Linked DNA regions of Arabidopsis thaliana. The protein of the gene in region 1 interacts with the protein of each later gene in a pairwise test. Each region holds a gene or a part of one and is shown in the gene's direction. Other genes may lie near its edges.

Region 1 (8,318 bases):
GAAAAAAAATCAAAATTAGACATCTATAGATATTTCTTAATCTGATGGGTTTTTTTTTGTAACGAATATGAATTCCAAGGCCAAAAACAGACGAAGTATCCAAAGTTTGAAAGTTTAATTTACGTGAATGGAGAATATGTGAAAATGGTGGAGAAACTATTGTGCTTGTTGACCTTTTTCTCTTGTCCAGAAGATTGGACAAACGCATAGAAACACATGCACGAGTCCTAATTAACAATTTAAAAAGAATAGAGAAAACAATAAAACAAAATGATGGGATCACTTAAAAACATCTAAATCACACCGTCTTTCTTTGATTTGTATGGAACATACTTTTCTTTCAACCAAGAACAAGTAACCCTACACATTTCATTTCTTTTGATCATAAACTCTTTGTGTACTCATTGCCTACATTTATGCTATTATCATTGCTTTCTATAGGCTTGGACTATATTATTTGCATATTGCCATTAATATATTGTAAAATCAAACATCTCGCATAATACCATGAAAAAGTTTTGTATGCATACTATACGTTGTTTATGTATGAATTCATGCTATAAAGTCAAAATGCAAATTCATATTTTCACCAAATGTAGTAGTAGTAGTAACGTTTTCACACGATTATATTAATTTCAGTTTTAAGTTCATTTTATAGTATTACTTATATTTATTTATATAATTTCATTAGTAATAGGAATAAATACTAAAATATATATCTCCCCTATTCTATCATCGTTTTCATGAACCGTTGACCTTCTTGAAACTACAACTAGGTATATAATTGTTGTGTGCAAATAACCAAAGTGGGTTACTGAGAGACTTGCGAAAGTATAAAACCAATAATTTGCTCCAGTGGTGGTAAGAAATGCAAAAACAAAAACACTATTTATTAAAAACAAAAAGAACAATTCTTATTGGATCGTTAAAACTCGAAACTAGTTATGAACCAACCATAGCATGAAACGTTTTGTTTTTGGTACATTATGCTACAAAGTTTACCACCAAATAGAAAAAGTCTTCGTTACCATCGATTGATCTATAGATTTTGCTTTTGCATGACCTTTCCCATCAACTTGTGGCTATTTTGCCCTTAAGGATACACAAAATGTCTTTCTAATTAGTCCCATAGTACATCTATCCACTGTTGGAATCGAGATCCTATGTCCTCGTAACGATTGCGAATTATTATTTATGTCTCTACATTATGTGGGGCAACTTTGTTTTAAGTTTTGAAATGTCTTCAACGTTCCCTAAAAAATGTTTGCAAAACACAGCTAGTATATTTAGAAATTACAATAAGAGTGGTGGATACGGAACAAACACAAATCGACATTAATGTTTGTACGTTGACGATAAAAAGAAGAGTAATCGATAAAAAAAAACTATAGATAATCCCAATAGATGATGGTTTAGTGTTGTTTGAAAATACTCTCTCAAAATGAGATTTACAGCTCTCTTCCTACTAATTGACCTGTTTAGAGGAGACTAATTTACATGCTCTAGTTTCCGGCGCATAAAAAATGAAAGTTTGTGTTAATCAAAGAAAAAAAATATAACTAATTTTTATTTCGTTGATTCTAATGGACCTACATTCCGATCCTCTTAAGTGAAAAAGATGCTTTCGTACCCCATAAATAAAATAAAATTATATATTTGGCTTAGAGAAGTGATATCGACGAGAAAAAATTCTTCAAATAAATTTATCGACGGACCCATATTGTATATATAGAATGTAATGGAGAAGAACAATCATTTCCCCTAATACAAGGGAAGATTGTATACACATTTCAGGAGGAAGACTATCTAAGTTAGTGCACTTTTGTTAATTTTGGTTCAAATTTAGGTTTTAGATGTAACAAATTTGATTTTTCATTTTTGGTTCGGTTTGTTACCATCATCCAAATGAAATATTTTGGATACATATAGATATATAATCATTTTAGTTTAAACTTGGATTGGACTGAATTAGATAAATATAATCAATATCATCTAGTAGTAATAATGTGATATGTGGGTTAATTTTTCTACTAAACAAACACCACGAGTTGGGTTGATATTATGTATCCTCATTATGGAGTGAGGCTTAAACAGGAAATTATAAGTTGTTTTGTTCTTAAATGAGTGATTATGTATTATGTATGATGATGATGATGAGTAGGCCAATTTAGTGACTGACTACAACGTGTTCCTACAATATATTGGTATATATGCAGTGATCCTACTATTCGAATTTCGTTCTTGGAATGTAACTAATCGTAAACAAAATATCTATAAAAAAAAACAATATTTATATACTTTACCGTAGGGGTAGCTATGTATAACTCGTTTGAGATATTCTCTCGATATGTTACCTAAATCGATTTGATTCCAAACAAAAAATTCTGGCTAATTAACCTGACTAATCATGGATTGGAACAGATATACAATTCATATACAGAGCAGTACTATCGTGTCTTGTCTGGTTAATTATCCGGACCGGACTAAACACCCGTTTAATGTGAACATAACCAAAGCAATCAAGTATCTGAGCTTAATTAATTATTACTGTTGATTAAGTTAATGATTAATTAGGCAAAAAAGTAGATTTGTATGCTGCTCACATGGGTTTGCGTGAAATAATGCTTTTAACCATCTTTTTGTCTCTCCTATACAATTCGAGCTAAAAAGCTAAGTCGTGTCCTTTATTTTATTTTATTTTTCTTTACATTGTTCTTTTGCTGTTATGATTTATGAATGTTGCACGAGATGTTATCTATCTACTATTTTAAAACACAATTGTATATTTTTTTTCGTCAAGGACTTGAAGTTAAAACACAATTGCTTACGAAAATATCAGTAAATTTACTGTTTCAAGAAATGATTATGCCTTCCATTTTACAACAATTATCGTTGTGAAATTCTTAATACATTAAAAAATGTTATAACGCCATTTAGTTTGAAACGTAAATGTGTTAAAGAGATTGAAAAAAAAGAAAGAGTTTACTAATTATAAAATTCAATATAATAACAATTTTTTTGAAATTCAATATAATTAGTATTTTTTTTTTTGAATACCAAGAGGTTTTGGACTGAAACCCGTAATCCCTCCGTACCCGAAACTACAGCATATAATATTACTTTTGTTCTAAACGTCATTCGAACTGGCGATCTCTAAGTTTCGTCTAGGGTTTTTACTAATTGAATTAACAACACTTGGTTATAATTAGTAATTATTTGTCACTAGCTTTCTTCCTCTGTATTTATAATTGATAGCATATTAATCAGTAACCTATATATAAGTAAGTATATTTGAATTTTTGTTTTTAGTAGTAGTTCTATTTTTAATGAAAACATTTTTAAACCTAAATGAAAAAATAATTATCATTTTTGTTCAACTATCCAAATTCACCTTCGTATAATACATGTCGGATTCAATTTCGTGTAATATATGTCGTTTGAAGAATAACGGGTGAGAGTGAGATAGAAGCGACCTGAAAACGAAAGGCAACTCTTTTTATACCTAAAGATTCCTTTTTTCCTAGTCAGTCAAAAGAAGTCAACGGTTAAGTCAGTTGACTTCAGATGACGATTAATGACGTCAGCATCAGTCCTTCCTCTGTTAAATAGAAACCAAACCACTTCGAGTTTCACTCACTCACACACACACACATAAACAAACACACAAAGACACATAAACACCACAATAAACTAAAACCCACCATGTGTGGACACGTCAGCACTTCTATAACCTCCGGCGACAACTGTCCATGTTTTCTATACTCCGACGACATAGTGGCTCCTCCTCAGCTGCTTGATCATCATCATCATCAGTTCCCGCCTCCGCCTTTGGCGCTTCTTATGATGAGCCAAAACTCTCTATACGCGGCCGAGGCGGTTTCAGGGTTCGGTTACTTTGATTCCGGCATGAACGGTGGTGGTGGAAGCAGCAGCTGCGACTCGCCAAGCTCTATGGGGAGTGGCGGAGAGAGTCTTGTTATGCAGAGGAGTGTTAGTAGCCATAATGGCTTTTCCGGTAATTACACAGCGGCCCATGATTTCGTTAACGATGATGATGGGCCAGTGAGACGGGCCCTTAGCGCCGGAGATCTACCCGTAAGTAATATTATATACACACTTGCAGTTTCGAGATTTCAAACGTTAACTTTTATGTTTTCGTTTACGTATGAAATTTTTCACATTTTATAAAACGAAACATTATATTGTTGGTTTGTTTTATGGTTTTGCAAGAGTGTAAAATGAAAACACCAAAACACAAATAAATTATCTAAACATACTAAAATTTGGGGTTTTATTTGAAAATAATAATAATTCTATCATAACATAAGACGACACTGTTTTGGTATGTGTGTAGAGGAGTAGCAGAAGAGAGAGCAGTACGGTGTGGAGTGAGAGCAATGCAATAATAGAAGGAATGAGCAAAGCCTACAAGTATAGTCCTGAGGAGAAGAAAGAAAAGATCGAGAAATATCGTAGCAAACGAAACCTTAGGAATTTCAACAAGAGGATTAAGGTAATTTTATAAATGTTTTACAGTTGTTTCTTTGTTCTAAACTGTTTGTTAGCATAAATTCTTATATCTTATTTTAACATATAAGAATTTATCATTTGATTCATATTGTTCTTCATCACATAGAGTCCATGTACACCTAACCTATATTATATATTCAACATGTGTATATATGTGTCGCATGGAAAACTTTTGAGGACTTGACATGTACAGTAGTTGTATGGAACAGTGACATGCACCTTCACATATATTGATGCAACCATTTTCTAATCAAGCATACAATTTCCTATAAATTTCTTCATTAATCAACTAATAATGATTTCTGTATAATTTCATACACAAGAGCATATATAAATGTCTATTTTCTTAAAATCAAATGTATAAGATATCTTTTCTTAGTAATACTGTTTTTTTTTCACATTTAATACAAAACTAAATGGTTCGTTGACCAAAAAAAAAAAAAAAAACAGGCTCAATGTATCATATCAATCACTCTTATCACTAAAAAGTAACATTGAATTTTTCTTTTCAATCTTATCTTCAAACATAAATAGAATTTCATCTGATATATATGAGTATGTGAACGAGAATTAATGTTCTGTCACATCATATTTGGGTCTAAGGAATCCTTTGAGATAGACACATCAAGCTCCAAGGTTGCTACAAGTTTTTTTCTCCATTAGTTTTTTCTTACAAGAAGGTCCACAAATATATTTCATTGCTAATTAAAGATCGGATTGGAGTATTCATGTACTAACATATTCAAACCGTATCTCAATGAGATATTTCTGCTCGCGTTATAATTTTTTGACCGACAAGTTTTGACTTGTGAATGATCTAAAAACTATCACAATACTTTGGGACAGGTTTAATAATAATCTTTTATCTTTCTATTAGTACGAATGCAGGAAGACATTAGCGGACAGTAGGCCAAGAATAAGAGGGAGATTTGCAAGAAATGATGAGATCTCACAACAAGAACAAGTTGATGTTATGGAAGCCGTGGTAGGAGATGTCGACACGTGGGCATCTTTTCTTGATTCTTTCTCTGCTAATCACTTCCTCAACTAATTTAATCTCTTCTATGTTTGTTTTTCTTATATATGTTTATATATGGCACTTTAATTTGTTTTGGTTTAAAAGATTTCCCCATGTTGCTAAACTCATGTGTAGGTTTTGTGTTATCTTTGTATATAAGAATAACATATCTTGTATTTTTGATCTGAGATATTTGCAAACTAATCCTTTTTCACTGGCCATACAATTCTGCATGAGTGGTATATGCCACTTTGTCAATTGACGATTGCAATTGTCTTAGCATGGCACTGAGTTCTATAAGTGAGATAAATGGGGTTTTAGATAGGTTAAAGGCAAAACAAAACGATATTCACCTATTGAGAACAAAGTGGATTTGAGATAAAACGTCGTCGCCGTATTAGATCCGTCATTTAAATTCGGTAGTCCATAAGTGAGTTGCAAACGATATACATAAAACAATTAAAAATATCGAACTCCAACTAAAACAAATTGATTACACATCGTTAATGTATATGGACCCTTAAATAGTTAATGTATAGTTTAGTATGTTCCTTAATGGTCTGATTTTTCTTTTACCAACTTGATTTACAAAAGTATTTAGAAAGTACAAAGATGATAACTTTTAGCATTGAAAAACATATAATGAACACATGGCCATGTTACTTTGATGATTTCATAATACTCTCACGTTGATTACACATCGTGCTAAGTACTAGCAATCTCCAAAGGTAAACATATATTATATACCTTAAGAATTCTTAAGATATCAAAGAAGCTTCCACTCAAATAAACTAACTTAAAGTAATCAACCCATACATTCATTCTCATAAGTCAGTATATAAAAAAAGCTAGAGGAAAACATACTAGCAATTATTTTTGCCAAAAAAAAAAGCTATGGAAAAGTTTCTCAGCACTTTTGATATTTTGCAAGAAAAAATGTTACTTTGATTGTAAGACTATATTATTTTCCAACAGTAACAAAAATCATTTATTTTTATTTAAAAGTGAAAATAATTTGAATGTTAGGCATCTTTAGTAATAAGAGAATAATTTTTCTCACAAGTAGGTAATTAGTAATAATGTGAAGAATAATGCTTCTCAATTAGATTATAAATAAAGTAGTTTTGAAAAAGGAAAGAGAGCAGTCTTTCTTCTTTAGCAATGGCTATGGAGGGAGATGTAGGCCCTCCGGCGACATTGTCCCCGACTTTTGTCGGCCGGCGGTAGATTTACCGACTCCTCCACTCTTAAATCTTTTTAACTTTTTTTTTTCCTTTTTAATATTTTAACTAAAAGCCTTTTTCTTGAACACGAGTACACAAAGAATCAACTCTAGAGAATAAATTAGATTCTTTCTTTCCCCCATTTTATAATCGGTTCAAAAATGAAACCACGAGACTTGCGTGGGTATAAATTAATGGACAAAACTTGTACTTATAAGAATGATCAAGCTCTTCAATGTTTTCTTTTTTTACTGATCCTTTTGAACCTTGATTGAAGTAGAAAAGGCTTGAAAGGCCTTAGTTGCGGTAAACGAACTCTACTCCTCTTAGCTTGCGTCTTACCTACATTATGGATTGATATAACATTAGACTGAAATCTATACTCCAAACTTATGTGTTAGGTTAGATTTGCAAATGAGGAAACTTAGATCTCGTACCTGATTTTGTGTCATTGTTATTTTCAGAGGATTGGACTTGGGCTTGGTGACTAGCTTCGGTTTCAGTCTTTTCAACCTTCTCGTCTTCAATTGTTAACTCTTCGACCTTATTGTCTTCCATTGTTATCTCAAAGGTGTTGTGGTTTGGAACTGATGCCTCTTCCTCGAGCTTTGTCTCATCGGACTCTAGTCTTGATGCTTCGTCATGGTCTTGCACAACCGCATCTGGACTGAGAGATTTACCTGATTCACTTAGCAAATCGGTAGTCTCAGAGGATAAGTTAGGAAGAATAATCTTACTGTCACCTGTTTCATGCATCTGGTCTTCCATTGTGACCTCCATGTACTCGTCGTGATTTGCTTCCGAAGAACAATCAATTTTCATCTCATCAGCAATGGATGTGAGGTGTTCAGGCTCAGGGATATGCTTCTCATCATCAATGGATGCGTGGTGTCCAGACTCAGTGATATGCATCTCATCATTACTAGCATGACCAGTAGTAGCTCTTTCTTTGCTGTTTTCGTCCACTGAGGCTTCTTCTTCAAAAGCAGCATTTCCCATGTTATTCACTTCAACAGGACTTTGTGGGATCCCATGATCGCTTTTTGACGGTGACATTGATCCACCTTCGGAAGTCGACTCAATATTCATGCTAACATCCGACGCTGCTTCTGACTTTGTACATCTTGTCAGTGTAAAGGGAGTAGCCGTCTGATTTTGCACCAAAATCCCCTGGCCATGGCTGGCACTGCATTTCCTTAGGGCAAATGCTTCTTCTTTGAGGACATTTGTAGTAGGTTCCACCTTATTGTCATCTTCAGACATCAGCATGTCAATTTGGCTTATGGTTTCAATTTCCCGAAGGTTATCATCAGATGAAGCTGTGGCCATACGTAGTTCAGAAACTTGATTACTACTGTGCACCTGAGTGTCAATCACCTTAGCTGCAGAAGGCTGAGTCACTGATTCAGTTCCTACAATATCCTTAACCCGGAAACCATGTTTTGGCAAGCCATCAAGAACAGAGGTGAAATCAATCGCCTTCGAGGATTTGTGCGCCACAACATTTGTGGCATCAAAAGCCTTTGCAAGATCATCCAAAAGCATGT
Region 2 (8,005 bases), on another chromosome or scaffold:
GTTAAAGCCAACCGGACCAAACGATATAATTGTACAATCCATTTTAAAATCTTACAATTTAACATTCCGAGTTTATATTCAAGATATCATTAGACTAAGACTCGAATAAACATGTCGTTTTACTAAATATTTTAAACATTAACATTACTAATTTTTTTTTATTTATTTTTTTGAAAGAATGTAAAATTTATATTCAACCAAAAAAATTGTTGTTTACAATGAATGCGACATAAATTTAAAGAATCAAAATAGTGTTAAAAGTTATCTAGCTGCGAGTTTGAAACCAATACTGCAACATTACTAATTAGTGTTGCCATGCATGAGTGATGAATTTGTTTATATGTATGTTTGGGCAGGAATTATTTTCTCTTGGATGGAGTGTTGTTTTTGTTAGAGTAGGTGTCCAAATCATGATAGGCCGAGAAGCTTTTGAGGCAACTTCGACTTTGGATTTGTTCGGGAGGGGATAGTTAAAACTAGAGTCGCACCATTCTTCGTTATGAGTTGGAATTCGTACTATGTTAAGGTTAAACGAGATCGACTATAGATTTATTGATATTATTTTTTGCATGTTATTGCCTTATCATGGTTGATAGTTTTAAACCACGCGACTACAGAACGTTAAAGATTTGGACGACATAATGAATGATAGTTATGAGTTAGTCTTTTAGGAAAATTTGCGATCCGGTCTAATCCGGTGAGATGGGATATCTCATTAGGCTCATGTAGTTGACTGTCACATTAACTAAACTTGGTTGATGATCACCTTTTTTATAGTGTAGACACACCTATATTTGACGTCTTTGGGTCTATATCTTTTATTAAGAGTTGACATTTTAGTATGTGTTTTTAGTGCGAGCAAAACAGTCAGTTTTCAAATTAAATGTACGAGATAAAAAGATGAGGCATTAGACAGAACTATTATCATTTCATAATTTTAGGCAGTAAACAAACATTCTATGTTGACAAAGGAGAAACACGAGAGAGAGAGAGAGAGAGAGAGGGAAACATAAAGCCAACATGGAAGAAGGTTCTACGGCTTTCTCTGATTTAAGTCTTAACTCGAAGCATGTATGGTCTTCGTGCACTTTTTATTTATTATATGCTTAGTAGAACAATGTACCTAAAAGGCTATAACATACACATTTTCCATTTATTTTTGTTGTTCATCAATTTTTGGTTTATGATTTGGTGTTTTAATTTCCTTTGGTACATAAACTATCATAATTGAAAAACCAGGATATGTAGTTAGGTCAACCTACATAACCTTTTGATAGGCTCACGACCTCACGCATTGAAAAACCATTATTAGAAAATAGTTATTTGGAAAAGTGAAATAGATTTTGTTAGCTCGATTTTAGGAGATGGTAAGGGAAAGCCCACTCACACACTCCTAAAAAAAATCTAAAAACCAGAAATTGCCCACTCCGTTTTGAGTTTTGACATACTCACATACTATACATATATGTTTTCGTTTTTTAGGTTTTGAACTTGAAAGACAGAGCTATGTTAATCGGACATATTTTTTTTATTATCAAACTATTCTTAACTCGTGTTTGGAAAATATAGTTTATTTTGTTCTATAAGTTTCTAAACAGTTCTAAGTTTTAACCCTACCAAAGAGACATTAAATTAGTAAAACCCGTCGGTTAATACTTAATACTTAACAGTATACGGAAAATTGTAAATTAATATAGGATAAAGTGGAATTCTTATTTGAAACACAATGTTCTCATCACAAAGGATCATCCATACATATATATTAGGTATGGGCACGAAGCGGATATCCGGAAAAATTGTGATATTTGTTATTCGATTCATTTTAAACGAATACTTGATTTTGTGATTTGCTTTGCTTCAAAAATTTCCGGATATCCGAAATTTCGAATATTCGGAATTTTTTGTGATATTTGCGGATAACCATATCAGATATTCAAAGTTTTTTTTTTAACATGCTTTCAAAATAAGTTTTAAATACCAAACATAACCGTTGTTGGTATCACCAGTCAACAAACTGTTATCAAACTAATTCCAAAAACTAAAACCCGATAGTTTTTTATGCCATTGATCAAAACATAACATGAAAAAAAAATGATCAAACAAACATCTTAACATAAAAACATAAAATGACAACAATACACAAACTATTTATGATATCTATATATAGATATAACTATATTTTCTAATATATATAAAAAGATACGGATCGAAGTGGGTATTCGATTTTTTTAAAAACAATATTTGTTATTTGATTCGGTTTTTACGAATACTATATTTTTCTATTTGCTTTGCTCTAAAATCTTACGGATATTCGGATTTTTCGAATCAAATCAAATCAAATACCGAATCGAAGCGGATCTAACGAATATTTTGCCCAATATATATTAGTTCCATTCGATTTATTGGAATATATAGTACCACGAAATCATCTCTCGTTTTTTTTGCTTATAGTGTATATCAAGGATCAACTTCATATCCTGCAGAAGAAAAGAATTGTCAAATTTATCTAGACAATATTAAATGGCGAATTTATTTTTGAAAAAATCAAGACAATATTAAACTTTGGATACGATGAAAAGATGAAAGAATGAAACTTACGGTGTGTATACGACACGAATGTTACCGGCATCAGTATTAGCGATAACCCGAAAAGCGTCACGAGAGAGATTAAGGTCACCGTTGCAAGGCTCCCGGCAGAAATCAACTACCTTCACGTCTACGGTACGCCCGGTGCATGCTCTGTCAAAGTTGTATGTAGCACCAATGCATCGAACCCTGTACCTCCGACCACAAGCTCGACCATTTTGCCACAAATTGTTCTTGACTCCGACTACCAGCGTCTCACGTTGTGTTCCGTAACACGCAGACCCTAAATCACATCATTAATTTATAACTGATCATATCTTATTTTTATAATATATATATTTATATATATGAAACAAACATATGTATAATTATATAGACGTACTAGTGTAGGGAGGGTCGTAATAGACAGCTTTTCCTTGAGCAGCTTCAGCGATTGGAGCTAAGATTTGTGCAAACACTATCATCACTACCACAAATTTTACTGCCATTTTTATCATTTTCTTTAACTTGTTTGTGAAATAACGAAGCAAAGGGAAGCGAGTATTTATATATAATTGGACTCAAAGACTGTAAGTAAAAGGAAAAGTCTTTGGTCTACGTCAAGTCTTCCATTACTTATTGTATTGATTTCATACAGGACAATTTGTTATTCCTTACTCCACCTAAATTTTCTTGGTGAATTGAATGAATATGAATATATGATGATGTGTGAAGGAAAATTCCACGAGGGTTTGAAATTTAAAGTTCATTTTTTTTTTCTTTGTGGATATTATTTTCACAAAGCTGCGAAGGAAATTTCGAAGAAACTAAGGAGGGTATTCTCAACATCACTTCGAATCCTACCTTGAGAAAATTCTCAACCTTACCCAAATCCAAAACCATCGGGAAAAGTATAACCGTCTTTTAAACCTTCTGATGAGTGTTAGGTTCTAACGTTAGGACCATCTACTAAAACAAAATGTGTTAATGAAGAAAGTCCCACATTAAAAATTAAAAATTATCAAATAGTATATAAAGTGTTAGGGTCACTCCACCTATTACCAATTGATTTTTAGTTGAAATCTCATATTAAAAGCCCAAATCTATCATGGTATCCGAGTCAGATTGTTCTTCAACTTTTCTAAACATATAAAAAAATAACTTGAACAAAAGGTAATAGTGAAATCTAGAATATTCTTCGGACTTCACGTACTTGCTCCCTAAGATATCTCCAATATTCGGTTTGTTACATAACACCAATAAAATTAGTCAAATGATGAAGTATGAAAAACAAATTTGCTTTATTGACCTCTTTTACAAGAGAAAGACAAATGTCTCTTCTTTATTTTATTTTTTTGAATCAAGACAAATTTCTCTTTGTTATCATGTCAAGTAAATCTGCGTTTATGAATTCAACATTCTGGAAAATAATTGGGCTTAGTGGGCCTTCAAATATCATTTTATGTAAAGGCCCAAATCTCTATATACCAATTAAACTTTCTATCGCTGAGAAAGAGATTTGATCAAATTAAACTTAAGATAACGATTGCCCTTACCGAGGAAGTTGCCTTTGTCGGCTTGTCGCTATAATTCATCAATCAAAGATTCAAAATATAAAAAATGAGATTTTAACTTTTAAGCATATGTCATTTGTGTTGTTATATCATCGTCCAAGTTTAAATTTACAAAACGTATATTGTTAAGAAAAAAAGAGAGCAAACCAAAAGAATGTACAAAATTTCAAAACGTCCGAATCAAACGACAAGCTATGTTCAGAACGAGTATTTAGAATTAGTAGCGATTCCATAGGCCTCCAAGTACGAATATTACTTTTAAAACTAAATTATAAGTTCGAATATTCCATCTTTTTCCATACTATGGTCTTAAAAACAGTGGGATGATGATATTTGCTTATCCTTCAAGATAATGTTTAAAATTATTGGATGAGAAGATATTTCTTATTATTTATATTTCTTGTAGACATGGAGCCAAAAAAATTTATATATATATATAAAAATTAAAATCTTTTATCACATGATCCAAAGCCCAAAAAGTAAAATAAAAAGTATCTCATCACATGACCATTTTTAACCAAACGTTACTGTCACTAAATGAAATCTATTTTTCTTTCTTAAATTTTGCTCTGACAAATATTTTTGATTGCGTCATTTTCTACTTTGGAAATGTCTTTGATTTAGCATTTCAGTTCGCTCAAAACATCAAATCTTACCTTCTTTAGCTTTCACATTAGATTCTGGTAATTATTAGCACAAAAAAAAGATAAGCCAGAATACGAAACAACCAAAAAAAGAGGAGAATTCTTTTTTTTTTTTTTCTTTCCGATGCCTCCGACCAATAATTACCGAATCTCCGGCGAACCACCGTCTACTACGCCGTCTCATCCACCGCCAAAACCGAAAACAAGGATTCTCTCTCTATTCCTCGTTGGTGTAATCATGTTTTCAATCTTCTTTCTCTTCCTCGTTCTTATCGGTATCGCCTCTGTTCTTATCCTCCCTCTCCTCCTCTCTTCTCTCCATCGTCACCACCGACGTCGTCGTCGTAATCGCCGACAAGAATCCTCAGATGGGTTATCTTCAAGATTCGTGAAAAAGCTTCCTCAATTCAAATTCTCCGAACCTAGCACATACACACGGTACGAGAGCGATTGTGTGGTTTGTTTTGATGGATTCAGACAAGGACAATGGTGTCGGAATCTTCCTGGTTGTGGACACGTGTTTCATCGAAAGTGTGTGGACACTTGGTTGCTCAAAGCCTCGACGTGTCCTATTTGCAGAGCTAGGGTTAGATTGTGGGAGGAAGATCCACAAGAAGGAGAATTATGGAGATGTTTTGGTCATAGAAGAAGTAGTTTGCTAGATTTGTAAGTGCTATGTTTCTTGTTTTTGTTTTGTTTCAATCATATTTGGATTAGAAGTTATAATCATTTAATAATGTTTTAAGCTCATTCAACATAGTTATAGTTTCTAACTCGTTCTTGATGACTAGTTCGTTGGAGGAGACTAATTGCTTCATTATTGGTTTATAGAATGATTAGAACCCTTAAGCTCTCGAAAAATATATAAATAGATAGATATGTAGTCGTTTTCAGTTTTAACACGGTGCTACAGAGTTTCTTGACCGATTCAACACGAATTGTTGAACATGTTACCGAGCTCTTGTTTTCTCTCTTTAACATCTCTATTTGTGTCGCTGTCAGGAAGTAATTGTTTAGACTTTTCATCGATGTGTTATACTTCGGTTTCTTGTTCTTGAATTTGTCTAAGTCTTGGTTTCTTTCGTTTGATTTTTGATTGAATAGGTAATATTGTGTGGTTATGTAGACGTGGACTCAGTCTAATGGATGATAAGAATCTCCAAAACTGAAGCTACGAAGAGGTACAATACAAGCCAAGGACTCTTTCCTCCATAGAGAAGTAGCGGGTCGATCTTATGGTAATATATAAGCACTAAGCAGATGGGCGTTTGATCATATAAACCCTCACTACCATTACCAAAAAGCAATAGCCAAGAGCTTTTTTTTTCATTTTCTTTTTGAAAGCCATGGATCGGTTTTCGTTCTTGAATGTTATAATGGAGGTTGCGGGTATTCTAAATGAATCCCGCAAACTCTCCTCAAGAACAAAAAGTTGATGTTCTCAGTCTTGGTATTCCCTCTCTTACTCAATTGTTTAGTTTACTTGTTCAACGCCATTGCCATCAAACCCGAGATAACAAACTTGATCCTTGAATCAAGTTTGTTACCTATGACAGATCCAAACACCCCGGAATTTGCTGCCCATCTTATGAGAGTCTTTGTAGATTTTCGCCAGTTTGTCAATTCTTTATACATCTTCATCGCCGTCTCCTCCATCATCAACCTTTTATCCACTCTTGTCATGGTTCATGCATCGGCTCTTACTCATAAAGATGATAGCTTCGAGATCAAAGATTTTCCGATTCTGACGCTTAAATATTGGAAGGGACCTCTTGTGACCAATTTCTATATTGTTCTCTTCAGTCTTGGCTATTGGTTCCTATTCTTTATAGTCCTATTTTCTATCGTTTTCTTCTCTACAAAACTCGATTCCTTGGCAGCCAAATCTCGCGCTTTATTCATTGTATTTGCAGTCTTTGAGTCTTACTTAGCTATCGTTTGGAACTTATCTATGGTCATATCGATACTCGAGGATACTTATGGGATCCAAGCTTTGGGGAAAGCTGCAAAGATTGTTAAAGGGATGAAGCCAAAACTATTCCTCTTGAATCTTTTCTTTGGGTTATTGTCATTTGGATTAGTTCAAATCTTGCGGCTGGTCGATTGGAGTAGTTCATTCTCGGTTACCTTAACCACCGGTTTGGTCCTTATGAGTTCGGTCTTTGTGGTGAGGATGTTTCAGCTTGTGACTTACACCGTTGCTTATTTCCAATGTAAGAGCCTGCAAGGACAAGACTCGCTGAGGGATGTTGAATATACGAAATTGTCATCCACTACTCTCATGGGAGGATTGCCTTGATTAGGCATGTATAATACATAAATATACGTGGGTCGTTTGTTTCTTAAGAATGTTAAAGTTCACCATGGATTTGGTAAAGTATTTCTAATAATCCAAGGTTTTTTGTAATTTATAAAAGTAATTAATAATCAAAGGTTTGGTTGAAAATATATTTTGTGTTAAGGTATGGTTGCATATGTATATATTTAGCAAGGTATTTTTGCTTTTCTGTACAATGCATATGACATGATTATCCTTTTGGATGAAAATGAGAAAACTACTATACTACAACAACTATAGAAAGCAAACCAAAATAATAATTAGAAAAATAAGAAGAACAAATCCCAAATGTTTTTCATATCATATCGCATTGCATTATGTTACAACATAGCTCTGTAATGAGAATTTTGAATTTCATACATGTATTTCATGTTAAATTATAGTTTTTGACTACATAAGGTATGTTTTAGCACAATATTATAGTCTTTAGCTACGAAAAAGCCGATTTCTCCACAAACTTGCATAAAACAAATTCACGTAGGTGCACACATGAATTTCACATAGTCAAGATATTACGGTACAATAACAGAGTTAGAGCATATGCATGATTATGCACAAAACATGAAGTGTAAGTATGAAATTCAGATTTCTCATTATTCGAATTTAAGTATAAATTTAACATAATGCATTTGTAAGGATATAAAAAATCTGATTTGCCGTGTTTAAGGTAAGTGTTTTTGTTGACTCCTTGTTGGGACATCTAGCTTCACCGTGTCACTCCTTGAGGATAAGACTAAAAATGTCGGAAACTTCTCTCAATTTTATTTGAACATGTTCGGGTTTGAAAACCGGTTTATGTAACTATCAAGAAATAATCAAAACAAAAAATCCAAAAATAAACTTCAATGTGAATTTTGATTTGGGCTATATATTTCAAATTTCAG
Region 3 (7,010 bases), on another chromosome or scaffold:
GTTGTACCAATTTTTAGAAATTGTAGTTGGTGAAGGTTTCGTGGACAAATCTTATTGTTTGTAGAAAAACATTTTCTGATAACATAACTTTACTTGAACACTCCTTTTCTTCTAGATAGATCTTATTCGACTCATAATTGGTGTAAGATTCTTCTAATTTTAGCAAGATATCATTGACGTGGTAGTTACCATCAATAAGTAAAGATCATTGACAATTACGTGGAGCCAATAGCTACTGCTAAAAAAGAATGTTTGTTATAGATCTTAATATATTAATAAGAACAGTAACATAATGTGATGGAACATATAATTGGTGTCAAGACATAAAAGATGATTTCCAACAAACATATTAAGCTTTTACACGTGTACTTTGGGTAAGGAACTGTGACAAAATACGATGAGGCTAATTATATGGATACTTTGTTGATATGAATCTAGAAACTATTCATAGCCTTTTTATAATGCATTGTAACAAATTAGTACTTTAGTCTCGTAGTAACCAATTATTGGAAATTTAAACATTACGTCTCGCAAAAGAGTATCTTTTAATTATGACGAATTCGTTTCTGTTAAAATCAGGGTTTTTCATTCATGAGTTATCAAATTAAAATCTTTTCGAAGATTTCTAATACGAAAGTACAAATACTTTTTTTTTTTAATAAAAAATTTAAGTACAAATACCTGAGAGATTAGATGTTTTGAAAAGAAAAAAAAAATTCACAAGTTTTATTGTGGTTTGTATCCCTATCATTTAGCATATAAAAAGGTTCAATATCTGCATATATATGGTAGAATTGTATATGTTGTAAAATTTAATTTGTCTCCCTGTGTTAACTTGCCCCACAACACGTTGCAAAGTGTTATTCATATGATCTGGTTTTAAATGAATTGTTATAATTTCTTCAATCAATTTTGGTTTCAGTAAATGGAAAAAAAAAACAAGAAATCGAATTAATATTGATTTAGTTACCAATATATATTTGATAAATTTTCAAAGAATTTAAGAAATCTGTATTGTGTTCAATTTTTTGGTTCCGTTTCTGGGTAGGTCGGCCCCGGGTCTTTCTTTTCCTGTTGTTCTGTTCCTGCCACGAGAATGTCAAATAACTTTGAAGACAGAAGTTATCCTATCGATGCTGTATTCATGCCTGTTGAAAATGCCACCTAAGAAAGGACGGAACTGTCGAGTAAGGATTGGCCGGGCAGAGGCCTTTGGTGTCCACTCCAGTCAAGAATTGGAGCCTCCAGGTATTAGCTGTTAGCCGTCGGACTCATTTAAAGGATTTAGTTTGGTTTCTACGAGCTTCTTATGATTGCTAATAATAAGTAAACAAGTTAAATAAACCATTCCAGGATAATGAGAATCTGTCAATCAGATACACAAAGTCAGTGATATCTCGCAAGCAAATCATCTCAAAACTCGTGCACTTCTTTATACGTGTCATAACAAGGAATATTTTTCTTTTTTTGATAAGATTTGGAACGTGAGAAAAACCATGTAGCCGGCAGTTTAAAAAATATTTTCGTTATAAGCAACCTAAAAATGATGATTGGATAATAGAAGGGACTATATAATATACAGTTGAGGAAGATCTGGATCTCGTTACCTACCGAGACCATTTTAACACCGTCGATCATTTTAAATTTGAGAAACTCGAAAGGTCAATTGATAATGTGGCAAAACAGGAGGCAACACAAACGATGACTCATCAGGCTCATCTCTGTGGCCAAATAATTTGACCAATATAATAGCCCGACAGCTAAGAGAGTCAGATTTGTCAGTAATAATCGGACCAATCAAATTTAAAAAATCAATTATTGTTGAAGTTTTGTTGGTTGATACGCAAAACCCTATGCTATATATATACATGTGTAGGGCAAGTTGAGTAAAACAGATCGATCAAGAAAGCAAAATACAAAGCTCAAAACACATTTCTAGAACAAAATCAAAACAAAAGCATATTATATAAAAAAAAATGTCGAATATGCTCGTCAAGAATCAACTAAGATCTATAAGCTTACCTTCAAGCTCGCATCCAAGCACGACCGGTATCGAGGAATCTCTTAACAAGGTCAAAACGATTAACACCATGACGGGTTCGTCCGAATCAGTCTTGATGGGCTTGGAGGGTTTGGAGGAGCTCTACAATTGTACGGAAGATTTTCTGAAAATGGGCTCAACGCAACGGGTTATGTCATCATCTGATGGATCCGAGTTTATGGAGGAGATGCTTGACGGTTCGTTGAGGCTAATGGATATATGCAGTGTCTCGAGGGATCTCATGGTGGAGACTCAAGAGCATGTTCGTGGTGTTCAATCATGTGTCAGGAGAAAGAAAGTAGTCGGAGGAGAAGACCAACTCGATGTCGCCGTCGCGGGGTATGTCGGATTTAGAAAGAACATGAGAAAAGAAGCTAAGAGGCTTCTTGGATCTTTGAAGAACATTGATGGAGGTTTAAGTTCATCATCATCAGTAAATAATGGTGAGCAAGAAGAACATCTTGTGGTGGTTGTAGACGCCATGAGACAAGTAGTTTCCGTTAGCGTCGCGGTGTTGAGGTCGTTTTTGGAATTCTTATCCGGACGACGACAAAGTAACATTAAGAGCAAGCTGGCTTCGGTACTAAAGAAAAAGAAGGTTCACCATGTTGAGGAGACCAAGAACGAGTTGGAGAATTTGGATCTCGAGATATTCTGTTCTCGTAATGATCTACAAAAGAAGCTTGAGGAAGTTGAGATGAGCATTGATGGATTCGAGAAGAAACTAGAAGGACTATTTCGAAGGTTGATAAGAACACGAGCCTCGCTTCTCAACATAATATCTCATTAGGTTTTAAAGTATTCATGTAATGTAACCTTCAAAGGCATTCGACTTTAGAGAATCTGCCGGAGGGATACATCATAGACGCATGGATAAGATATTGTACACTAATTAAACATAATTTTGTAGAGATTAATTTGTAAAAATATACACAATAATGCATTGATATATACACAAGGCAGACTTTAATACATGAACAAATGAAAGTTTAAAATACATATAGCATATTTATAAATTTACAATTAAAATCTTACAGAAAGAAAAACAAAAGAACTAGACTCTTAATCCAAAAAAATCATGATATTCATAAGAAGAGGTGGGAATTCGGACCATGGGTCACATGTGTACCGGTTTAGTTATTTTCCGGTTCATACCAACTGAAGAAACCAAGTTATAAGCGTAAGTTCTGGCAGGGGCAATTTCGTCAAAACGAGATTTTGATTGGATCCTACGGACGCAACCTTTTAAAGAAAAGGCGCGAGAGAGATCTGAGCGAACACGTTAGACACACATAAAAAAATAACGGTCATAAACCGCCGTGTGGTCATAGAAACTATATAAAGACCACTTCGATTGAAATTGAAGACGTGGTATTCTAAATCTCTGCAAAGAAGAAATTATGAGTAATCCCGAGAAGTCTAAAATTGCTGAGGAAGAGAATGAGAATTTTGACGAGAGTGATTATCTTTGGAGCGATGAAGAAGGAGACATACGTGAAATTGTTCTTGGCCTTCCTGCACTAAGACTTAGTGAGAGTCTCAATGTGGATGAAAGCATCCGTAACGAAGCCGTTTCCGCGGCGAAGTTGATCGTGGCAGCCGCCAAGGAAGCCACAGGGAATACAGAACAAAGTGCTAGTGGTACCGGTGACGTTAGTGGAACTCCAGAAATCATAAAAGTTGGGAAACCCCGTGTATTATTGGAAGCGCTGGCCGAAGCATCTGGTTGTACCCCTATTGGGGTGACCACTACTGAAGGAGAGGTAGTCAAGAAACCCCGTAAGAAAGGTTCTACTCAGTTGACACATCTGCCGCAAGGCCCTCCTATGTGTAATGTTTGTGGGAAGGGCTTTGCTTCTTGGAAGGCTGTTTTTGGACATCTAAGGCAGCATAAGGATCGAGGGTATCTAGGTTTTCTTCCTCCGCCAACATTCAATGCTGCTGAGGAAGGATTTGGTGGAGTTGCTACTGCTTCAACCGGTGGTGCAGTAGCCACTGCTATTTCCGTTGGTGAAGTCCCTACTGCTTCTTCCGCTGGTGGACTCGCTACGGCTTCTTCCGATGGTGAAGGGCTTGTTTCAAGTATCGGAAGGGCGAGGATTGACTTAAATGCCGATCCAGTCGAGGAGGAAGACAAGGTAATTGGAGTTGGATCTAAGCGAAAATTTGATCTGAATAGGTCCCCCCCACCAGACGGTGATGAAGAGAACGATGATAAAGTCGAGTGATAGTTATTTTCTTGTTACATGCAAATCATTTTCCTTAGTTACATTTTTTCTTCGGTTTGTCGCTGTGAAATGAATATACTAACTATGATATTGTTACTTCTTAATCTATGTTATTTGAAAAGATAACTTTTTTCCAAATTGCAACAATAAATGCGCGAATGAAATAATATATTCTCTACTATTGATATGTTGAAACACTATGTAAACTTATACCTTGAGTGGGAAAATGTGAAAAGCGAATTTATATAATCCATATCCCATTTGCATAAAAAAATAATTTTTAATCCTATTTTTTAAATTATTTAAATATATTTCACTTATGTCGAAAATATACAAAATGTAAATGAAAAAACAAAACCCCAAAAACATTTTTTGTTAATTACACTGCATTATCGCAACAGTGAAAAAAGGAGACAAGAAAATAGCACATTCAATAAATTTGCAAAACGTTGAGTCTGAATAAAACAGAATATGCCCAAATTTAGTTTATATGCCATAAGAAAAACGAAGTATTACAAATATTAGCGTTAATGATTGGTAATTAAATGGAAATGTCATTTGACCAATCAGAATATGTAAAATTGTTAAAAGTCTACTCCACGATTATCAAATCAAACCACCAGTGACAACTGACAAGCAAATCTAATCAAAATCAGTGCCCCTCTTGCACATGTCATAGTGCGAGACGTTATGCAGAAGGCAATGATGTAGTTTTTGTTATATGGAATATATCTTTTTATTCCTGAGGAACCGTAAGTAGCAAACTACCTAATATGGTCGGAGAAAGATCCGGATCTCATAACCTACCAAAACGACTTCAAGAACGCGAAAGGTCAATTGATAATGTGGCGAATCTGTAGGCAACAGAGACTATGACTCATCAAGCTTTCTCAATTTGACCAATATAATAATCTGACAGGTCAGAGAGCCACAGATTTGTCAGTAATAATCGGACCAATGAAATTTAAAACATCAATTATTGCTGAGGTTTTGTTGGTTGATGACGTTTCAAAAACCATTGCTATATATATAGGCATGTGTAGGGCAAGTTGAATAAAACAGATCGATCAAAGAAGAAAGAACACAAAAACCCTTAAAACACCTTATATCAAAACACAAAAGATGGCGAATATGATCATTAAGAAACAGTTAAGATCTATAAGTTTACCTTCTAGATCACAACCAAGCACAAGTGGGCTCGAAGAATCTCTTAATAAGATTAAAACAATTAACACCACGACGGGTTCATCCGAGTCGATCTTGATGGGCTTGGCTGGTTTGGAGGAGCTCTACATTTTTCTGGAGGAGTTTCTGAAAATGGGTTCAAAGCAACGGGTTATGTCCTCTGGTGGGTCGGAATTCATGGAGGAAATGCTTGATGGTTCGTTGAGGCTGATGGATATCTGCAGCGTCTCAAGGGATCTAATGGTGGAGACTCACGAGCATGTTCGTGGCGTTCAGTCATATGTTAGAAGAAAGAAAGTATCTGGTGGAGGAGGAGGAGATAAAATCGATGTCGCTGTCTCCGACTATGTCGGATTTAGGAAGAACATGAGAAAAGAAGCCAAGAAGCTTCTAGGATCCTTGAAGAAAGTCGATGGAGGGACTCGTTCATGTGATAATGATCATGAAGATGAACAACTTGTGGCGGTTATAGATAGGGTGAGACGAGTGGTATCGGTAAGTGTCGTCGTATTGAAGTCGTTCTTGGAATTATTGTCCAGACGAAAAAGTAACATAAAGAGCAAGTTGGCGTCGGTACTAAAGATGAAGAAGGATAACCATGCGCCAGCCAAGAACGTGTTGGAGACATTAGATTCCGCGATTTTCGGAGATTTTTTATCTCATGATGATCTTCAAAATGAGCTTGAAGAGGTTGAGATGTGCATTGGTGGGTTCGAGAGAAATCTAGAAGGGTTGTTTCGAAGGTTGATAAGAACACGAGCCTCGATTCTCAACATAATCTCCCATTAGGAAGAAGTTAATATATGCAATGTAACCTTCGTGAGCATTCGGTTTTAGAGAATTTGCCGGAGGGTTGCATTATATAGAATAATAGAAAAGCATATAAAATATTTTGTACACTAATTACAAACTGTGTGAAATAGAATCAACATTGCAGTTATATACCCATAAATCTTATGAAACCATCTACGACTCATAATTTAAAATGACAAAATTAGTCAGAAAGTTTCATAAACTCGAATGGATGACTTGAAACTTATACATATCTTGATTTATTATGTAAAAGGAGATCGGAGAGTTGACTTCTCAGTGTAAACTCACTGACCTAACGTGTATACAATTTCTAGACAGGAAAAAGAAAAAGAACGTGTATACAAGTATCGTTGCTGAATTTTATGCATGCTATAGTATTCGAATATCAAATCATGAACGTCAAAGATGCTGATATAGTAGCTAACCATATTTATTAAAACTGTAAATATTTGTTAAAATGTAGATTTTCTTTTCCATAGTTCACAAAAAAAAAAAAAAAAAAAAAAAAAAAAAAAAATCCATTTGTAAAGAAATTTCACTTTAAATATAAGATGGATTTTTTAAAAAAGATCTAGAAAATCTAGCGAAATAGATTTTTTTTTAATTGGTTTAATTAAGACGCTCATTTTATTCACACATGTCGATCACAGTTGTATGAAATTTGTTTGCTTGTTAATAATGGCATCTCCATTAATGGTATCTCCATTGTTTTTGATGTATCTTTTTTTTTCATATTACGTTGG
Region 4 (7,639 bases), on another chromosome or scaffold:
TTCCTTATCATCATCATCATCACAAACTGTTCCTCCTTTATCCACGTCATCAATCACCGGTGGATTCTTAATCCATTTCGACCCTTGAAGAAACGGAATAATAGAAGAAGCCTTGAAAGATGAAACCCCCAGAACATTCATCGTTGACGACTCATGACCCGTCGTTGACTTCAATATCGAGATCAAACCCATCACAAGCGGGCTTTGACTTCCTTCTCCGATGAGCTCCCTCGCGATGCTACCATACATCGATGCAGGTCGATTCCGAGGAGATCTATCGAAATCACGCTTGTGGGAGAAGAATCTAGGACGAACCAAGGATTCAAAGCAGTAACCACCGGGACCAACACGGGTCCCGACGAGATTCCGAGCAACATGGGTGGAGTAAGTGAAAGTGATTCTTATCGCCATAACTACGAATTTGATGAAGAACTTGAACAAGTAAGGGTAAATCGAAGAGTCGTAAAGCAACAAACTTTCAGCTAAAGAGAGACTTAGAAGAACAAGTAACCCATTTCTAATCAAACGATCAGTGAATTGTAAACAGAATCTACGAATTGAAAGGTCGGACTAAGTCCGACGAGTCAACCGGAGGAAGGTGAATTCACTCCGGCGAGATTGATTGGATTCAGGTGAGAAGCAAAAAACCGTGAAAGGTGGAGACTTTAGAGAGAGAAAGATCTGGGTATGCCTAAAGAGAAGATCTTTTAGTTTGAGATTAGTTGTGCAATCAAAGGAAAGGAAACTTCTTGGCGAGTAGAGAGAAATGGTGATTGGTGAAGGTGAAACTCTTTTTTCTCAATTTTAAAATTCATTTTTGTTATTTTTAGCAGAAAGTCAAACATTTGACCGAAAAGGAAGAAGAAGGAGATAAGTCAAATCCGGCTGCTGGGCTTATTGGGTCACACGATCATGTCGTTTCATTTGTTATGCTTGACGAACGAAACCACTATATTTTGTTTAATATTACTTTCTTTTAAGTAAGGATAAAACATGTCATTGTTTTACAAAAAAATTAACTGATAAACATTTCTGGTTCCCTGAATATACTTTTTTTTTTTGTGAAAGGGTTTTCTTATATAACTTGAACATAAAAAGTATACAAAAAAAAACAAACAATAACCAGAAACTAGATTGGGGAAGAAGACCAACTAAGGTACTTAACAAAAGAAGATATCAAAACCTATATATCTTGATAATGATGGATTCTTTTTGGTTTGTCATGTTAATGATAGTTTTTAGTGTAGAACAATAAGAAATTGACTGAACAATTGTTAAAAAGAGTAAATATGAAGAGAAGAGTCACACATGAGACTCTGCTCATTTGTGTTAAAAAATAAAATAAAAATGACTCGGCACATTCTATAAAAAATCAGATGCGACGGTATATTCTATTAGAATAGTTTAAGAATACAGATCAGATTCCTGAGAATTGTTCTAGAAGAAATTTTATTTGAACTTTCTTTGACAAAAAAAGAAGATATTTTATTTGAATTTTAACATATGCATGCCTTTACTATTTACTTCCCTTATGAAGTGGGTCTACATGGTTAACTATGGGATTTATTGTAACTCTGACAGACTAAGCAGAATCAGTACTGTATAACTTCAAATAATTTTACAATACTTCTATATATATATAGATAAATAATGAATTTGATAAAAAAGATTCCTGTATTTCTAATATTATAATTTAATATGTATCATAGATCCTTATCTAATGTCAAATATAGTTAAAACTTAAAAGTAGAACCACAGTGCAAAGTTATATTATATACATATGTAAATTCAAATATAGTATGCTTGATACATTAATGTTAATTTTAACTTTTGATAAGTACTTTTTTATAGGTAGGTAATAAATACAAATTAGGTCATATGTGTGGATACAAATGGTTCTTATTGTTAGGTTTGAGAAATCAAATCGAGGGCGTAAAAAAAAAGTAACATGAATCATATGTAAGTTTGTCAGTGGGGGATGTTAACATGAATCATATGTAAGTTTGCCAGTGGGGGAGGTTAACACATGAATCATGTACCGTTCATTGGGTGTGGTTTAATACCTAGTCAAGTCGTTCGTACATGACATTTATAATCATCGTACCACATTAAATAATTGTCGACAAATCTTGGTTTCAACTTTCAACAATCTAGGGGTTTTTTCTTCTTTTTTTTTTCTTTTCTTTCAGGCTTATATTTAGATTGGGTTTTAAGTGGTGGTCAACTTACTAATTTAAATACGAAAACTCTTCTGTTATTTAGTGTTTTAAAACCATAAAACTATTTGCTATGATAAAATTGTTAGAATACACTCCAATATAGATGAATTTTATTTTACAATTTTTTTTGCCAAAATCAAAATTGTTAGATTTTTTGTAGACTAAAAAAACCATTGTGTGATTGTGTCTACTTCCGATTTGAGCGGATATACAGACTTAGTCGAGGAACTCGATGTTAAGCCTTGCTTCTTTTGTTGATTAAATAAAAACTTCTTGGACTAGTTGGATTAGATAACTTGTTGTGTATACTTATATATGTGATGTCCTTCACTTAAATGTAACACGTTATAGTACTGAAAACATAATAAAATGAATCAGTTGCGACTTAATTCATAAACCATGTTAGATTTTGGATGTTTCCATACAACAACAAAAAAAATTTAAGGATTCAAGCAACGTGAGTCATGACGCTTTAGCAATGAATTGTTTTCCTTTCTGTGAGTGAGTGAAAGATCGAAAATTTTGTGGTTGATTATTTAGAGCATAAATTATTCCTCTCAAGTATTAAACTAGTGACTTTGACCCACACATTAGTTTTCAAAACTATTAGACCACCCATTTGGTTTCAATATTTTCAATGTTTTATAGGTGATAAAGTTTTCGCAAGTTTTCGCTTAGAAGATTATGAGTACTCGAATTCAAATGCATGCAAATTCCAAAACAATTATTCGTCCTTTCCTTCTGTATGTCACATATTTTGTTGTGTATGTCAACAACTAGGCTTTTTTGTTTGGTATCTATAATTCGTTCCTTTTTTTAGTTTGCCGGATCAGAATGTATTTTATGATTCATATCTTCTACAAAAGAGCCGGATATACTATATAGTTTCCTAGTTTATGTTAAAATTTATGTATCCACTTTGTTCCATCAAAGTTATTAAAAAGATAAAAGTTGCAAGATAAGAAAAAATAACTACATACAAATTGCAAACAAAAAAATAATATTTTATAATAAATTCCTCATTTTGAATACATAATAATATATCGTTTATAAATACAACATATATCATATGCATGTATTATTATTACAAAGTGGAATGATATCCATAATTTAAAATGTTTGTATTTGTGATCTGCTTTGCTTCTGAAAATTAGTTTTAGCATTTAATTTATTCAGTAAGTTATGGTGTACCTATATTTTGTAAGTTAAAGGTTATGTGGCCAAGTAGGAGAGTTGGGGACCTCTCTTTGTGTCTCTACATAGTTTTGTAAACCTCACATCTCTTTCTTCGCTTGCATTCTCCAAACTCCAATTTTTTTTGTTTCTCTCAATAATATTTGTGTTCATACTGTTTCGCTGTTTCCAATACATACTAATGGATAACACAAACCGTCTTCGCCGCCTTCACTGTCATAAACAACCCAAGTTCACTCATAGCTCTCAAGGTTTGTCTTTGATTTAGTTGGAAATCTAATTGTTCTTCCTTTTGGTCTACGCTCATTCATTTGACCTGTAACATTAAATTGTTTTGTGATGTACGTTTTCACTGATATTTTGAATTTATATACTAACTAAAATGCAGAAGTGAGTAGTATGAAATGGGAGTTTATCAATATGACCGAACAAGAAGAAGATCTCATCTTTAGAATGTACAGACTTGTTGGCGACAGGCACGTAACATTTTTCTTCTTCTGTTTATATATTGATCTAGTTCCAAATAGAAAAATTAAATTCTTGACCTAATTGTATTATAATATGTGTGAAAATATGTGCTTTAACAATTAAATATTTTTGTTTGTGTGTGAGGGATAAAACTGTTTGCCGTGATTCAAGCTTCTATCCAAGATCATTTTTACCTTGTTCTGAAAATTCGGATGTCGTGAGAGTCAGGATCTGTCCACACCAAATTTTGGATCATATATTATAATTGTTTTTATAAAAAAAAATATCCGGATCTATAGTTATATATATATTTTGAAAGTTTTTTTTACATAAAAATAATTTTAGATACCAAATTTATTTTAAAAACTACTTTTTAAACTTAATCCATATTTTCTAAGACTGTTCAATATTTAATTTTTATTTTTTAATAATTCGAATCTGAAGCTTATATAAAGAATCGATGACTTGCCTAACAATTGTTATAAACTATACTATAATTTTTTTTATTTTATAATACTTCCCTTTGATTCTAATTAATTCAAGTCTTACAAAAAATAAATTGTTTCATAAATATATCAAGTTTTCTATGCATTCTTTAGTTAATCATGAGATGAACTGTAAACTCGAAAAAAAATAATACTATTGGTTTAGAGTTAGAGAAATTTATTAATCACAAAATGATATATTTATAATCAAATTTTAATTATTCGTTCTTAATATGTGTTAAAACCTTAATACTTAAATTAATTAGAAATAGAAAAACTATTGTTGTTTTAAATTTATATAAATATATAGACTGTTAATGTAATGAAATCAAAAATGTAATTTTAGTTTTAATAATTCATTTTTTTACAATAATCAGAATACTAATAATAACATATATATGTTGGTCACAAATTGAATCATATGATCAGGTGGGATTTAATAGCAAGAAGAGTGGTGGGACGTGAGGCAAAGGAGATAGAGAGATACTGGATTATGAGAAATTGTGACTATTTCTCCCACAAATGACGCAAAAGTCACTCTCTTTAAAAAATCTCGAGAATCTCCCTGTTTTTCTATTTCTCATCCTCATTAAATAATTTCTGTGATTGTGGACAAGAAAAGCTTTATTAAGTTGTCGAGTGGGGTTCTCCTCATCATTAAATCTGTTATGGTCACGGAAATTACCACTTTAATTGGCAGAAAAAACCTCTATGATTATAAGACACATTCGGTTAAAGCATAAGCAACCAAAGACCCGAATATGATTGATTAGATACGAGATAAGTTCATTATAACAATGCATGAAAAGAATTCAACTAGTTAATGGGAATATGAAGGTAGAATGTCAAAAACATGAACCGTGGTATGCAAGGGTTCTATCCAAAATGAGATCGGAATTTGGCTTGAATGTGAAGTTTTTCCTTGAAAAATGTACGAATGTGGCCAATGAGAAGGACCGTAGTGCTACTTGTGACGCCCTTGACCCATGTGGATTCTCTTCCATCAGTAGCACAGATCAAGCCTCGTGGAATAAGACAGAGAATTATCGATGATGGTTCCGTTGAGGATCGGATGCTGTCAAATGTGTCGTTCAGTATGTTGAGAAGATGCATTACCAAAATCACTCCACCATTTTCTATAGAGCCAAAATATTGGGAACATTCGTAGTACTAATAGTAATAGGTCCAAGTAATTTGCGGAAAAGTTAGTGGGCTTTAAATATAAAACATGACTGAAATTGGGCCGTATTCGACATTTAGTTGTATTATTCTCTAAATATTCAGAACTCTCAATAAAATCACTCTCTGGCGACTCAACGTTGGCCAGAGAATCGGAGAGGGACATTAACTGCTGGCAGACTGGCAGAGTGGCAGTAACCATACGCCGAAAGAGATATTCTCAACTTGTCCCGTAAATCAACATCTTTACGAGACCTTCATGCACCTTCGGTTCTTTCATTGTTTCTGGGTGGTTGGTGTGGCAAATAGCTAGCTGTACGTTTGAGGTTGCCAAGAACTCCAAAACTCAGACAGTACGTGAGTCTCAAAAAGTTTTTCCTCAGCTAGTTGGAGATTTTTAGCAGAAGTTGACCGAGAATGATTGTTAGTGTTAGTTTAGATTCTTTGATAATATACTTTTTCCATGTTGATAATTATCGTTATAGAGTAAAATTATAGTTAACTAATGTTGATAATTATAGTTATAGAGTAAAATCTTAACATTCATACAGTAAATATGTGTAAGTTTTGTGTAGGAGGCTAAGTTGAATCCATTCTGTTCACTCATATAATGGGTGCGCTGAAGTGAATCTACGCACTTCACATTTAAAATCATTGGACCACTTTAGAGACATATTGTGGACCAAGTTCTTAAATCGATCAAACATCTACCAATCAACAAGCCATGTATTTATTCGAACATGCATGTCTTTTTGTTTGTTTTTCTAGTTGATACTTATTGATCTGGCTTTTAAATTTGGCATCACTCGTATATATATATATATATATATATATATATCTCGTAGATACGTTATTGTCTTATAGATATAAGGTATGTCTTTGTCACAGGGCAAGCTCTAAGAACGTTAGTTGAAGTGACATACTGCAACCATGTCTGATGTTTCAAATTTCTTTCCAAGCTCTAAACCAAGAAAAAGAAAATAACTTATCAAAAGAACAAACTTGATTTAGCAAGAGCATCAATACACATGTTACAAGTACGAAGCTGGAACGAGACGGAACACTGATCAAAAGAGATCGTTGAAATTAGAAACCAAATCATATAAATGAACTTACTTCAGCCCCAGCGATGACGCGCACTACTCTTTTGCCCATCTAACTATCTAAATAGGCCTAGTCGAGGATAAACCTTTGGTTCTTTTCGTTAGTTAATAGGCCTAGGATTTGTCTTGTACTAATTAAATGTTGTATAATAATGTATACATATATATATATATGGTTCTTTATAGTTTCACGCTGAGACATGAACATTAACTGAGACAACTTTAAACCTTGAATATAATTGAGCTTGTTATACGTGTCAGTTTCTTATTACATCAACTGAATTTATTTATCACTGAGACATTTATTGACTCCAGTCATAAATAGTGCGTATATGTATAATTGTGTAAAAAAGGTATGTAAAATGTATGTTGAGAAACAAAAAAGGTAATATGTGTAGAATGCTAAAAATGAAAACAAAGTACAAAAAATCAGAAATTTCATTGGTGTGGCATAGTGGTTACTGGCTCGGATCTACTAGGACGAGTACGATTTCGGCCCACGTACAGATCTAATATCACCGCACCAAATTAACAGATTGTTGGAGTTTGTCCAATTTTCAAGAAGTAGATTCAAACAATACTTTCAGAAACGGAACAAAAGATCTAAACGATATTGGAAAAGTCTACTGTTGTAACTTTCCTCACAGGACCACATCCCCATCTCCGTCAGTAGAAGAAATTCCAAAATAATAAAAATAAAAACTGAGAATAATTGATATGTCAAATAAATTAGAACTAGCGATATACTGCAGTGAATAGTAGATTAAACTATGTTAGAATTTGGTTGTTTCTACATAAAACCCCAAAGACTAGTAAATTAGTCATGACGCTTTAGTGGTGAACATTTTTCTACATTTAGGAAAGATCGAAATACCACCATTTTCACTGTGACCACAATAACGTCTTAGATGATAGAAAAATTGGGCAAGTTTTCGCTTAAAAATAATTTAGTACTCGGATTCAAATACATGCGAATTCCAAAAAAAACATT

What was found.
Region 2: the proteins of AT5G59990 (region 1) and AT2G18670 interact in a two-hybrid assay, tested with the Arabidopsis thaliana proteins (one large-scale study listed by BioGRID).
Region 3: the proteins of AT5G59990 (region 1) and DAZ3 interact in a two-hybrid assay, tested with the Arabidopsis thaliana proteins (one large-scale study listed by BioGRID).
Region 4: the proteins of AT5G59990 (region 1) and TCL1 interact in a two-hybrid assay, tested with the Arabidopsis thaliana proteins (one large-scale study listed by BioGRID).

The regions. Positions count from the first base shown.
Region 1 is NC_003076.8:24,148,469-24,156,786, reverse strand, and holds AT5G59990 (CCT motif family protein), read left to right. Parts: upstream 1-3,585; 5' UTR 3,586-3,702; coding exon 3,703-4,095; intron 4,096-4,354; coding exon 4,355-4,513; coding exon of another isoform or gene 4,514-4,525; exon of another isoform or gene 4,526-4,936; intron 4,937-5,407; coding exon 5,408-5,581; 3' UTR 5,582-5,853; downstream 5,854-8,318. Other genes in the region: GAF1 (Polymerase/histidinol phosphatase-like protein), read right to left, coding at 7,004-7,113, 7,209-8,318.
Region 2 is NC_003071.7:8,088,562-8,096,566, forward strand, and holds AT2G18670 (RING/U-box superfamily protein), read left to right. Parts: upstream 1-4,658; 5' UTR 4,659-4,907; coding exon 4,908-5,449; intron 5,450-5,887; coding exon 5,888-5,891; 3' UTR 5,892-6,218; downstream 6,219-8,005. Other genes in the region: PNP-A (plant natriuretic peptide A), read right to left, coding at 2,471-2,477, 2,599-2,869, 2,969-3,083; AT2G18680 (uncharacterized protein), read left to right, coding at 6,219-7,082; AT2G18685 (uncharacterized protein), read right to left, coding at 6,263-6,466.
Region 3 is NC_003075.7:16,919,910-16,926,919, forward strand, and holds DAZ3 (zinc finger (C2H2 type) family protein), read left to right. Parts: upstream 1-3,409; 5' UTR 3,410-3,441; coding exon 3,442-4,269; 3' UTR 4,270-4,425; downstream 4,426-7,010. Other genes in the region: AT4G35690 (hypothetical protein (DUF241)), read left to right, coding at 1,977-2,831; AT4G35710 (DUF241 domain protein, putative (DUF241)), read left to right, coding at 5,392-6,243.
Region 4 is NC_003071.7:12,966,016-12,973,654, reverse strand, and holds TCL1 (Homeodomain-like superfamily protein), read left to right. Parts: upstream 1-3,414; 5' UTR 3,415-3,594; coding exon 3,595-3,664; intron 3,665-3,801; coding exon 3,802-3,889; intron 3,890-4,795; coding exon 4,796-4,892; 3' UTR 4,893-5,090; downstream 5,091-7,639. Other genes in the region: TPP (thylakoid processing peptide), read right to left, coding at 1-411; AT2G30430 (uncharacterized protein), read right to left, coding at 5,243-5,479. UniProt on the Arabidopsis thaliana protein: MYB-type transcription factor involved in trichome cell specification. Acts as a negative regulator of trichome patterning and formation by direct binding to the cis-acting regulatory elements of GL1, thus suppressing the expression of GL1.